Linked DNA regions of Nothobranchius furzeri. The protein of the gene in region 2 purifies or fractionates together with the protein of the main gene of each other region. This does not show direct contact. Links are inferred from orthologs where the notes say so. Each region holds a gene or a part of one and is shown on either strand. Other genes may lie near its edges.

Region 1 (4,414 bases), on a different chromosome or scaffold from region 2:
GTTCTACAAGCTGATCTCAGAGCCCTGCCAGGCGTATGGGAGGAGATCTGACATGTATTTTGGCCCCATGCCATTGAGTGATTTATAAACTAGTAGAAGCACTTTCCAGTGAATTCTGTAGTTTACTGGTAAACAGTGTAGTGAGGACAGATTTTTAAAATGTTTCTTTTATATTTATTTCTTCATTTCTTCTAGCCCAGACTGATCCTCTCGCCCACAGCCATCTTTTGCCTTTCTGTGTTTTATCTTTATGCTTGTGGGAGAATATGCTTTGGCTGGGGGAGGTGTTGCCGAAGGGAAATCTGTGTCTTGCGTTACTTCAACTCAGCAGCCTGTTTTAAAATGCTGCTGAGGTTTATTCTGCATGTGAACCATTGAAGGACAGCCTCGGAGAAATTCCTTTTGATGTGCAACACAACAGAGTATAAATAGATCACACAAAAGACAGACTGGTGCCAGCCCACTGTTTACTGAGAAAAAGGGAAGACTTCATCTTGAGGTAAGAGACTTTCACTCTGTTTGGGATGAGTAATAGTTTCACTCTGAGAAACAAAAACTGGTTTTCCATTACAGAACTAATCCTGATGAATTTATATGGTCATTAACAAATCACATATTTGACTGTGCCATCTTTCTCTCTAAAGGCCTCATACCAACTTTCATGCACAGTAGAGGGGGTGTGATGTTTGGAGTTTTCTTGCAACCAAAAGATCATGGCACAGTAGCAGCCAGACGTGAGGTTGTCTTTAAAAATGTCAAAGTATCCCAGAGTCTAATGTGGGATCTTCCACCACACAGCTGAACTTTTCCTTTTGACATATAACGGAGGCATGCACTGATGATTGTGATACTGAAGCTGCACGGACCTCCTGTAGTTCAGGGTCACGAGAGATACGTGTAATCCCTTTTAACCTACCGCAGCTTTATAAATACTTTACATATCATATCAGTTACAAATATCAATTCAGTATTTGCCAAAAATCTAATTATTTGGCTCATTTGACTGCATACGTTAAAAACTTATAAGCACTTCATATTTTAAGACTTAAACTATAGCTTGGACAATTTTCATGCAGAACCTCTCTAAAAAGTTATACTGAAGGGAAACTTACAACTAAAATTGGAAAAACTGAGCAATAAATTTACTTGATTTGCCCGAGGGTCGCGTGGGAAAGAGAAAAAAAACGTGTCCATGAAAGGCAAGGGGGGTAGGCTTTTGTAACTAACATAGCAACAGTGCTGCATGACCACCGGTGCTCTGTGACAGCTGGGGCATTTTGAACTGACAGCCGGTTTTTTTTTTAGCTCCATTGGTCGAAAAAGCCATCAATCCCGGTGGTTGCTCCGCCCCTTACCCCCCTTCAAGGCATGGAAAAGTCTTTGAAGTCATGAGGGCGGAGCTGAACAAATAATGCCATGTGGTGCTCAACACCTGCGTTTCTATTGGTCCACTGCGCCGGGGAAACGCCTTTTTCTGAAGGATCCCATCTCTGATTGGTTGACCATGCCGCCCCAGTTTTAGCGTAAGCGCGTTCACGTTTTTTTAAATTCTCGGTCACGAGTTACGTAAATAGCGTGAACTTCTTACGGTGATGGTGGAGCTAGCTTGGAAACCCTTTACAGAAACAGCGTACGTTACATGCGCAGCGACAAAGACTGCGAGCCCGAAACCTATGGGGAAGAAATAAAAAAAGACATTCGGTATCGTCGCACTCTGTACCTTGAGACCGTTATTTTTCGAGAAGCTAGCCGCCCCAGAGCCTCGGTTGTGACGCCGAAATTTGACGACGACGAAACCGGATTCAGTGTTGGTTTGAAGTCGTTAATTCGTTAAAGAGGACTGTGACGACTGGCAATTTTTCCGTTGGACGGTCTGTAGGCTTGGGTATAGCGGGAGCCGCCATGGCAGTCGGGTCATTGAGCCTCCACATCGGGATATGAAGAGGAACTGCATGTGTCCTGAGTCGTCGAGAAAACGACACGTTTGTCTTTGGTCCACGTTGGATTAACATCCGAGCCAACCCTCCTTCATAATTGTGGAATTCATACGGAAAATAATCGTTTTTTTAGCAGGGGCCACAGGGAGAGGCCAGATTCATGACTATTTTAGACGGAGAGTCTTCTGAGGCCCGTTGAAATAAATCCTGGAGTTTAAGAAGGAAATATTTTCTGATTGACCGTTGTTGGGAAAGAAAGGACTGTTTCAAACGAATTGATTTTTAAAAGAACAAAAAGTAACGCAAGGTACCGTAGGATAAAAAGGGGGTCTCTTTCTGCCTGCCCTTCCTGTGGATCACAGATACATATTCATTTACTGTCAATCCTTTTTTGGATGAGAAGGATCGGTGAATCGATCAGCTCTTCCGTTTAGTCAAAGCCTCCCAGTCGAGAGAATCAAAGGGATTGGATCATGTCGGGTCGGCCCAGGACCACATCTTTCGCCGAAAGCTGCAAACCAGTGCCGCAGCCCTCTGCTTTCGGCAGCATGAAAGTCAGCCGTGAGTACACCTCTGATTCTACAGTGACTTTTCTCAGCACGTACCAGGCCTAGTCAGTCTGGACAACACGCACCCCGCTAACAACCCTCTCATAAAAGGTTGGACCTGACAGAAATATGCTCACACCGCCCCTGTGCCGCTCACCGCTGCACTCTGACGTACCGCTCCGGAGCCGGTCAGCCTAGTAGGCCGCGCCGGAGCAGGGCAGGGCCGCCACGGGGCTTGGGGGGCGAGTGTTGGCACCGGCCCAGTTCAGAAACCATGCCTTCTCCAATTACTGCAAAATCCGGTCTAATTATTGTATAACTGACTTTAGATTGGATCGCAGAGCATTACTACACAGCACCAATCCTATGCATAACGGAGTTAAAGCGATGGGGCTGGTTTATTACGCAAATGGAAGGTGCGCCCATCGTTGACTCATGCGAAATTGACCAGCTCCTAGATAGACCTAAGCTAAACGAGCCCTCTTCATGATGACAAGCTGATCGCAGATGCCAATGCCCTCTGGCTAGAAAGTCTGGCACCTTTTAGCTCTCATTTACGGCATCTGCGACAATTTTATAGCATCCTAAATTACTCTTATCCACCACCTGCACAATTCTCCCCAATTTAAACACTATAGTTAGAAAAAAATAGCAATTTTGTACTACAGTTTCCAGATACTACTAATTTAATGTTTAATGTCTTCATTTAAAAAAGCAAATCTCTACTTATTTGAAGTAATAGCTTACATTTCAATACCTTGACACAATTCACAGCAGCTGCACCCATGTTCCACCTTTTTGCTCGTTTAGGTGTGTGAAAGGGGAAAAAGTGAACGTGTTATGGAATGTGGATGGTGCTTCGGGCTGTGATGTGATCAGGATGTGTGTGAGCAGTGTTTAGGCCTGAGGCTCACTATTGGGTCTCGGTTCTGGAAACCACTTAATGGATTATGACACACAAAGAAGAAAATGCACTCCAGTCCCAAACCTAACACTTGTTGTGCATCATATACATGCATGAGTGTTTAAGAGCTTCCTGTTAGTGTGTCCAAAATGAAAAACAGTATTGTCAAGGGGTATTTGCCAGTAAACGAGTTGACTGTATGAGGATTCCTGTTGTCACAATGTAAAGCTTATTGTAAAACATATTTGTACTATTAGCTGTATTTTTCTTTCAACAGGTCTGTCTGGTAAATCAACGTAGAAACTAGGGATGTAAGAAAATATTAATATGGCAATATATGGTGATATTATTTTACAGCGATATATCGATATTCAATATATGGTGATATTATTTTACAGCGATATATCGATATTCAAAAGCTTTGTATCAATTTTTTGGAAGAATTTACATTCTTACATTCAGTACATTTGTGTATTTTCTTTTCTTTTGGTGCAGTTCAATCACCGACTGCTGGTTGGCAGCAGTGTGCAATGGGCTTTGTTTCCTCCGTTGACTTGTAACCCCCAAATTCCACTACCTCCGCTCCGGTCCGCCCCCGCCCTCCGCTGCCGCTCGCTTCCGAACTCAATTTTTACTGCTACCCGCTCTACAACGGCTCCGCTCCGGTGCGGAGACCTGAGGTGGGCAAATAAGCATGCGCGGGATTTTCGAGATCTTGCGATACAGTCCGAGCAATAAACGCGGAAGTTAGATCCAAACACCCGTTGTGTGGGAGAAGCATCGACATGAACTGTTTAATCTGCCTATCATTTGTGTTGAGAGATCAGCAGTGTTTGGATCAACAAAGTGTGACTACTTTGATAGTGGAAACTGTATTTATGGCTTACTTTTGTGCATTTAAACTTCAGCCGCCACTGATAGTTGTTAAAAGTTGTTAAACTTGTGCATATGAAAGAAAAAACGCCTTTTGTTTATCGATGTATTGTGAAAAACGGAAGTTGTGCCCGCTCCTTTTCCTGTTGGAC
Region 2 (4,608 bases):
CTTATTTGTGGTCTTATGGCACTTGGCAAACAACAATTTGGTGCATTACTGCCACCAACTGGATTGGAGTGGAATGACTACCAATCACTTCCTGTTTGTGCAATTATAACAGGGCCGCCTGGTATTTTTTTATCTTATAAATGGTAAATGGCCTGTATTTGATATAGCGCCTTCTAGAGTCCTGGAACCCCCCAAGGCGCTTTACAACACAATCAGTCATTCACCCATTCACACACACTGGTGGGGATGAGCTACAATGTAGCCACAGCTGCCCTGGGGCGCACTGACAGAGGCGAGGCTGCCGAGCACTGGCGCCTTATGGCTGTAAAATTGTAATACAAAGTGCAAAGTGTGTGTAACTCTTCTTCTTTCAGAACAACCTCAGCTTTTAGTGCATGATTTGTATTTAGAATTTATTTCTATTAAAGCCTTTAAAAAAATCAGCTTAAAAGTGAAAAAAGCAAAAAAACGCATTAAAATTTTTTACATTTATTACTGAACAGGAACTTCAAAATGACTTGGGCAAACAATTTGGGATGAACAATTTAAACTTTGAACTGTAATGCATCTAATCCTAAAAAACTGTGAACCTTGGTATCTTTTTTAGCAGTTCTAAGACCATTTATTTTTGTAAACTTTCAGATGTTTTTATTTGATGTGGTAGACCTTGAAGCAGTTCCTCTCCAGCTGCAGGCAGAGTCCCACTTTGCGTGCCTCACACTGCCATGGGGTGCTTCTCTGGCACACCGTGCACTGCTATACCAAAAACTTTTGTTTTAGCAAAAATAATTATTTATGGTGAAAGGTAAATAATGCTGGAATTAAGCTGAATCTTACAATTAGCAAATAGTTGAGGGTTGTTCAAATAAAAAAATAAAAAATAATGACTGAACAAACATTCATATCCTGGTTCACTGGAGATCTGTCCTTCTTCGTAGTCACTGTCTTCAGATATAAGCCTTCTGGGACACCTAATAGATCGTGTTGATTTTCTCTGAGGCGTTTCCATAATTTCATGCTGGTTTTCATGCTAATTAGCTTCCCTGTTCCGTTATCCGCTTTCACCGCGGCGCTGCGCTCCATTACAATCAGGCTGTACAGCAGGATGTCCCCTCGTAGCGATATTTTCCATAACTCCGATTGCTTCATGCTATAGATCGTTGGAAAGCTGCTTTTATTTTAGGAACCGTTGAAATTTTTTTAATCTGACCAGCCATTCAAAAGTAATAAAACAGAGCATTTTGGATGACAAACTCAGCATGTCTCTGAATCTGTGTTGTGATTCGTTGCGCTCAAGACAGGAAATCCCGGTGGCTACCGTAATGTATTGTATATGCACAAAACCCCCCATTTTTAATCATTTCAGCACTTTTGGAATTTTAATGATATCTTGAACGGTTCAGGAATTATGGTAATGATAAGTGTGCATGTCCAATCCCGTCGGTGGCGACAGGTTGAATATTGTGGCATTAACAGAGGGGTGCCGGCGGTCAGGGCTAGGGGGCCCCCCCCAACACAAGGGGGCCCCAGGCGGCCGCCGACCTATGCCTAATGGTAAAACCGCCACTGAGAACATTGCACAGGTGTTACTCCTACACTATAATTATGGCTAATAAAACACGTTTGTTTTGATTCTTTTTGTTCTTTTTTTCCCTCTCAACCCCATCATTCACTGCAAACCTGAGGACACTCAGACTCTATGCAGATGAGTAACTATTGATTTCTCTTTTGCTCCATGCATTAGTCGAAAAAGCTGGAACCCATCACGATGCATTTACTCCAGGGTGCAGATTACTTCACTTCCACGTGAGTCAGCAGTTGCATGTCTTTGCTTTGTCATCAGTCATGACTGCAATCTTCAAGGTGCAGCAAAACTAAACAACCTCCACAGTAAATCAACTTTTACAGGGTGGGGAAACTTTCAGAAAGTTTATTTTTAAACCACAGACATTCTTTTCGTGTTTTGTTTATGGATGCTGATAAAATTAGTTTTATACACTTTAAAATAAACACTGTGCAATACTTTGTCACTGCTGTTTTTTGTACTTGAGCCCTCTATACAAGTATTTGTTTTACAGTTTAGTAACATAATGAAAAACAATACCTACAAACCCCTGCTTATTTATTAACCCAATTAATACGGAAAAAATACACACTCTGAATCGAACTCGGGCAAACATTTACATGTATATATGTATTTTAATAAGTAGATTAATATTATTATTATTAGCTTTGATGATAAGATTTTTTTACAACGACAGTAAAAAACATTATCAATGCATATTAAGTACATTGTGCAACCTAATGCATACGAATTATGCCTGTTTTCGTTTATAAATTGTACTTTATTGAAGATTCTTGTAACTAAATGTTTATAAAAACAAAAACAGCGACACCTTGTGGAAAATAAACAATGACGCATACGTATCTGCAAAAATACCAATAAACTGGCTTTGTAATTCACATAAATAGAATAATAACTTTAGGTGTTATAGTTATGTTTATTGAGCAAATGAGGTTTAAATAAATGTGGCGCTAAACTCTGCAGTTTTATTGAAAATCAACTGTTCGATCCAAACGTAATTCCGTCCTTCTTTTGGGTTTTAGGTGTGAATCTTCAATGACGTTTTGAAATATCAGTAAGAGATTGGATCGTGCATAAACAAATAAATACAGATGAAGCTGCAGTAATTTTTCTCACCCTCTCGCTGGTTGTGTTCTTCCGGTTTGGAGAAGCTTCTAGTTCCAGCCCACTGAGCTGCTCTGCGTGGGAAAGAACCACCCGAAAGGAGCGTCACTTCAAAAGCTATGATGAAAACACGCTTTTTTAACTTATTTTGTACAGATTAAATTCTGATTTTCTAAATATCAGCCAATTCTTAGTTGTGAAGTGCCGTGAGCATAACAGGTCCGCCATGTAATGACGTCATGAACTAATCCCACCCCTAAATGTGTGGGATTTATGGTGCATTCAGAGGCATGTAGGAAACGAGGAGAACTTTGAATAAATACTGAATTACTTAGAAACAAAAATATATAAAACGCCAAACGGTACGTATGTTTTCTCCTATTTAATGTCGCTGGATAAGAACATGTTTGTGTTGCTTTTGAGGGTTGCCAATGAACATATTTGAGTGTTTATTTCTCCCTCTGGAGGTCTCTCAATTAAATGCAGGGTCAGTTGGTGCGGAGTCATGAAAGTGTTTGTAAACAACTCAATCAGAAGGTAACTTAAGAGCTGTCTTGATGTGGTCTATTTAGCTTTTCTAAAGCGTCGTCGTTGAATTATAAACCTTGTTTTTAAGCATAATGTTTTAATTCGTTTACATTTTGAGTGGAGAGGCTTATAAAAGGAAAATGTGTTTTTACCTTTGCTCGCATGCTAACTAGCACAATGCTACCACCTTAGCTTTATGCTACCCACCGACTACGCTAATGTAGCTTCACCCCACAGAATGGGGAAACCTCACGCATAATAGCCGGCTAGTTAGCTGAATGACTTGCCTTTGTCTAGCCAACAGTCAAAACCGCCTGTCATGACAGCTGTGTTTACATAAACAAATTTAAAGGCTGATAAAGATGATAAATTTGTGATATGCTAACTACAGCTATTTCGCAAGTAACTAGTGGTAACAAGAGGCACAAACGTGCTCTTTATACACACGTTTGTAGTACGATTAATTTATATCCACCCAAGTGATTTAGTATCGTCTCAGTCTTCATTTAACAGCTAGATAACTCATTGTTCATAGTTTTCCTGTTAATATTTTGTGTTAAGTCATATGGTGTCATATTTCTAACCTTGTGTGTTGTTTTTCTCTAGACGCAGCAAACTGGAGTCGGACCCATTCCTACACACATCTCTGAGTATCAACACATCCTCCCGACTGTCTCAAACCCAGAGATATGAAGGATGTTTGAGCTCACAGTTTTTCTGCATCTTCAAGTCAACAGGATGACATGATTGTCACATCACTGGTTCATTCATAGCTGTCTGAAAACCTGCAGCGTTGCAGTAGCAAACTTTCAAGTCAAAATTTCATCACTTGCTTGCTGCTGGCCTACCAAGTTGAGATGCCTTGGCCGTTTTCGGAATCGATCAAGAAACGGGCTTGTAGGTACCTCCTGCACCGGTACCTAGGAAACTTCCTGCAGGAAAAACTGAGCTTGGAACAACTCAGTCTTGATCTTTATCAAGGCACTGGGTCTCTTGCGCAAGTTCCTTTGGACAAATGGGTACGTACAGCTCATTAATTTATTCCAACTGAATATCCAATCTAATGTGTACTACGACATAAACATAAATTCCAGTCTGATATGATAAAATATTTCTAGACCACTACATTTTTGGGTTAATGAGTTTAAGGCATCAACAAGAACAATTTTGGCCAATGCTATAAATACTCGTATGTCAAATTCTTAGTTTTGTCTTTATTACACAGTTGCACATTTAAAGGGAAATAGAAAAACAATACTTATAAGGCATAGTTTCCCATTTCACAGTCCCTTAATGAGCTGCTGGAGACCTCAGATGCTCCTTTTGAAGTCATCACAGGCTTCATCCAGACAATTTCTCTGACCGTCCCATGGGCAGCACTGCTGCAAGAA

Evidence for each region.
Region 1: the proteins of gskip (region 2) and gsk3ba purify together in Homo sapiens (affinity purification with mass spectrometry; 10 studies listed by BioGRID and IntAct, with this or other methods). This does not show direct contact. The link is inferred for Nothobranchius furzeri from reciprocal best matches to the Homo sapiens genes GSKIP and GSK3B.

Annotation. Positions count from the first base shown.
Region 1 is NC_091754.1:24,451,641-24,456,054, forward strand, and holds the start of gsk3ba (glycogen synthase kinase-3 beta), read left to right. Parts: upstream 1-1,603; 5' UTR 1,604-2,410; coding exon 2,411-2,498; intron 2,499-3,242; exon of another isoform or gene 3,243-3,948; intron 3,949-4,414. UniProt on the Homo sapiens protein: Constitutively active protein kinase that acts as a negative regulator in the hormonal control of glucose homeostasis, Wnt signaling and regulation of transcription factors and microtubules, by phosphorylating and inactivating glycogen synthase (GYS1 or GYS2), EIF2B, CTNNB1/beta-catenin, APC, AXIN1, DPYSL2/CRMP2, JUN, NFATC1/NFATC, MAPT/TAU and MACF1.
Region 2 is NC_091758.1:32,385,817-32,390,424, reverse strand, and holds the start of gskip (GSK3-beta interaction protein), read right to left. Parts: upstream 2,841-4,608; 5' UTR 2,702-2,840; intron 1-2,701. Other genes in the region: autophagy-related protein 2 homolog B, read left to right, coding at 4,075-4,236, 4,504-4,608. UniProt on the Homo sapiens protein: A-kinase anchoring protein for GSK3B and PKA that regulates or facilitates their kinase activity towards their targets.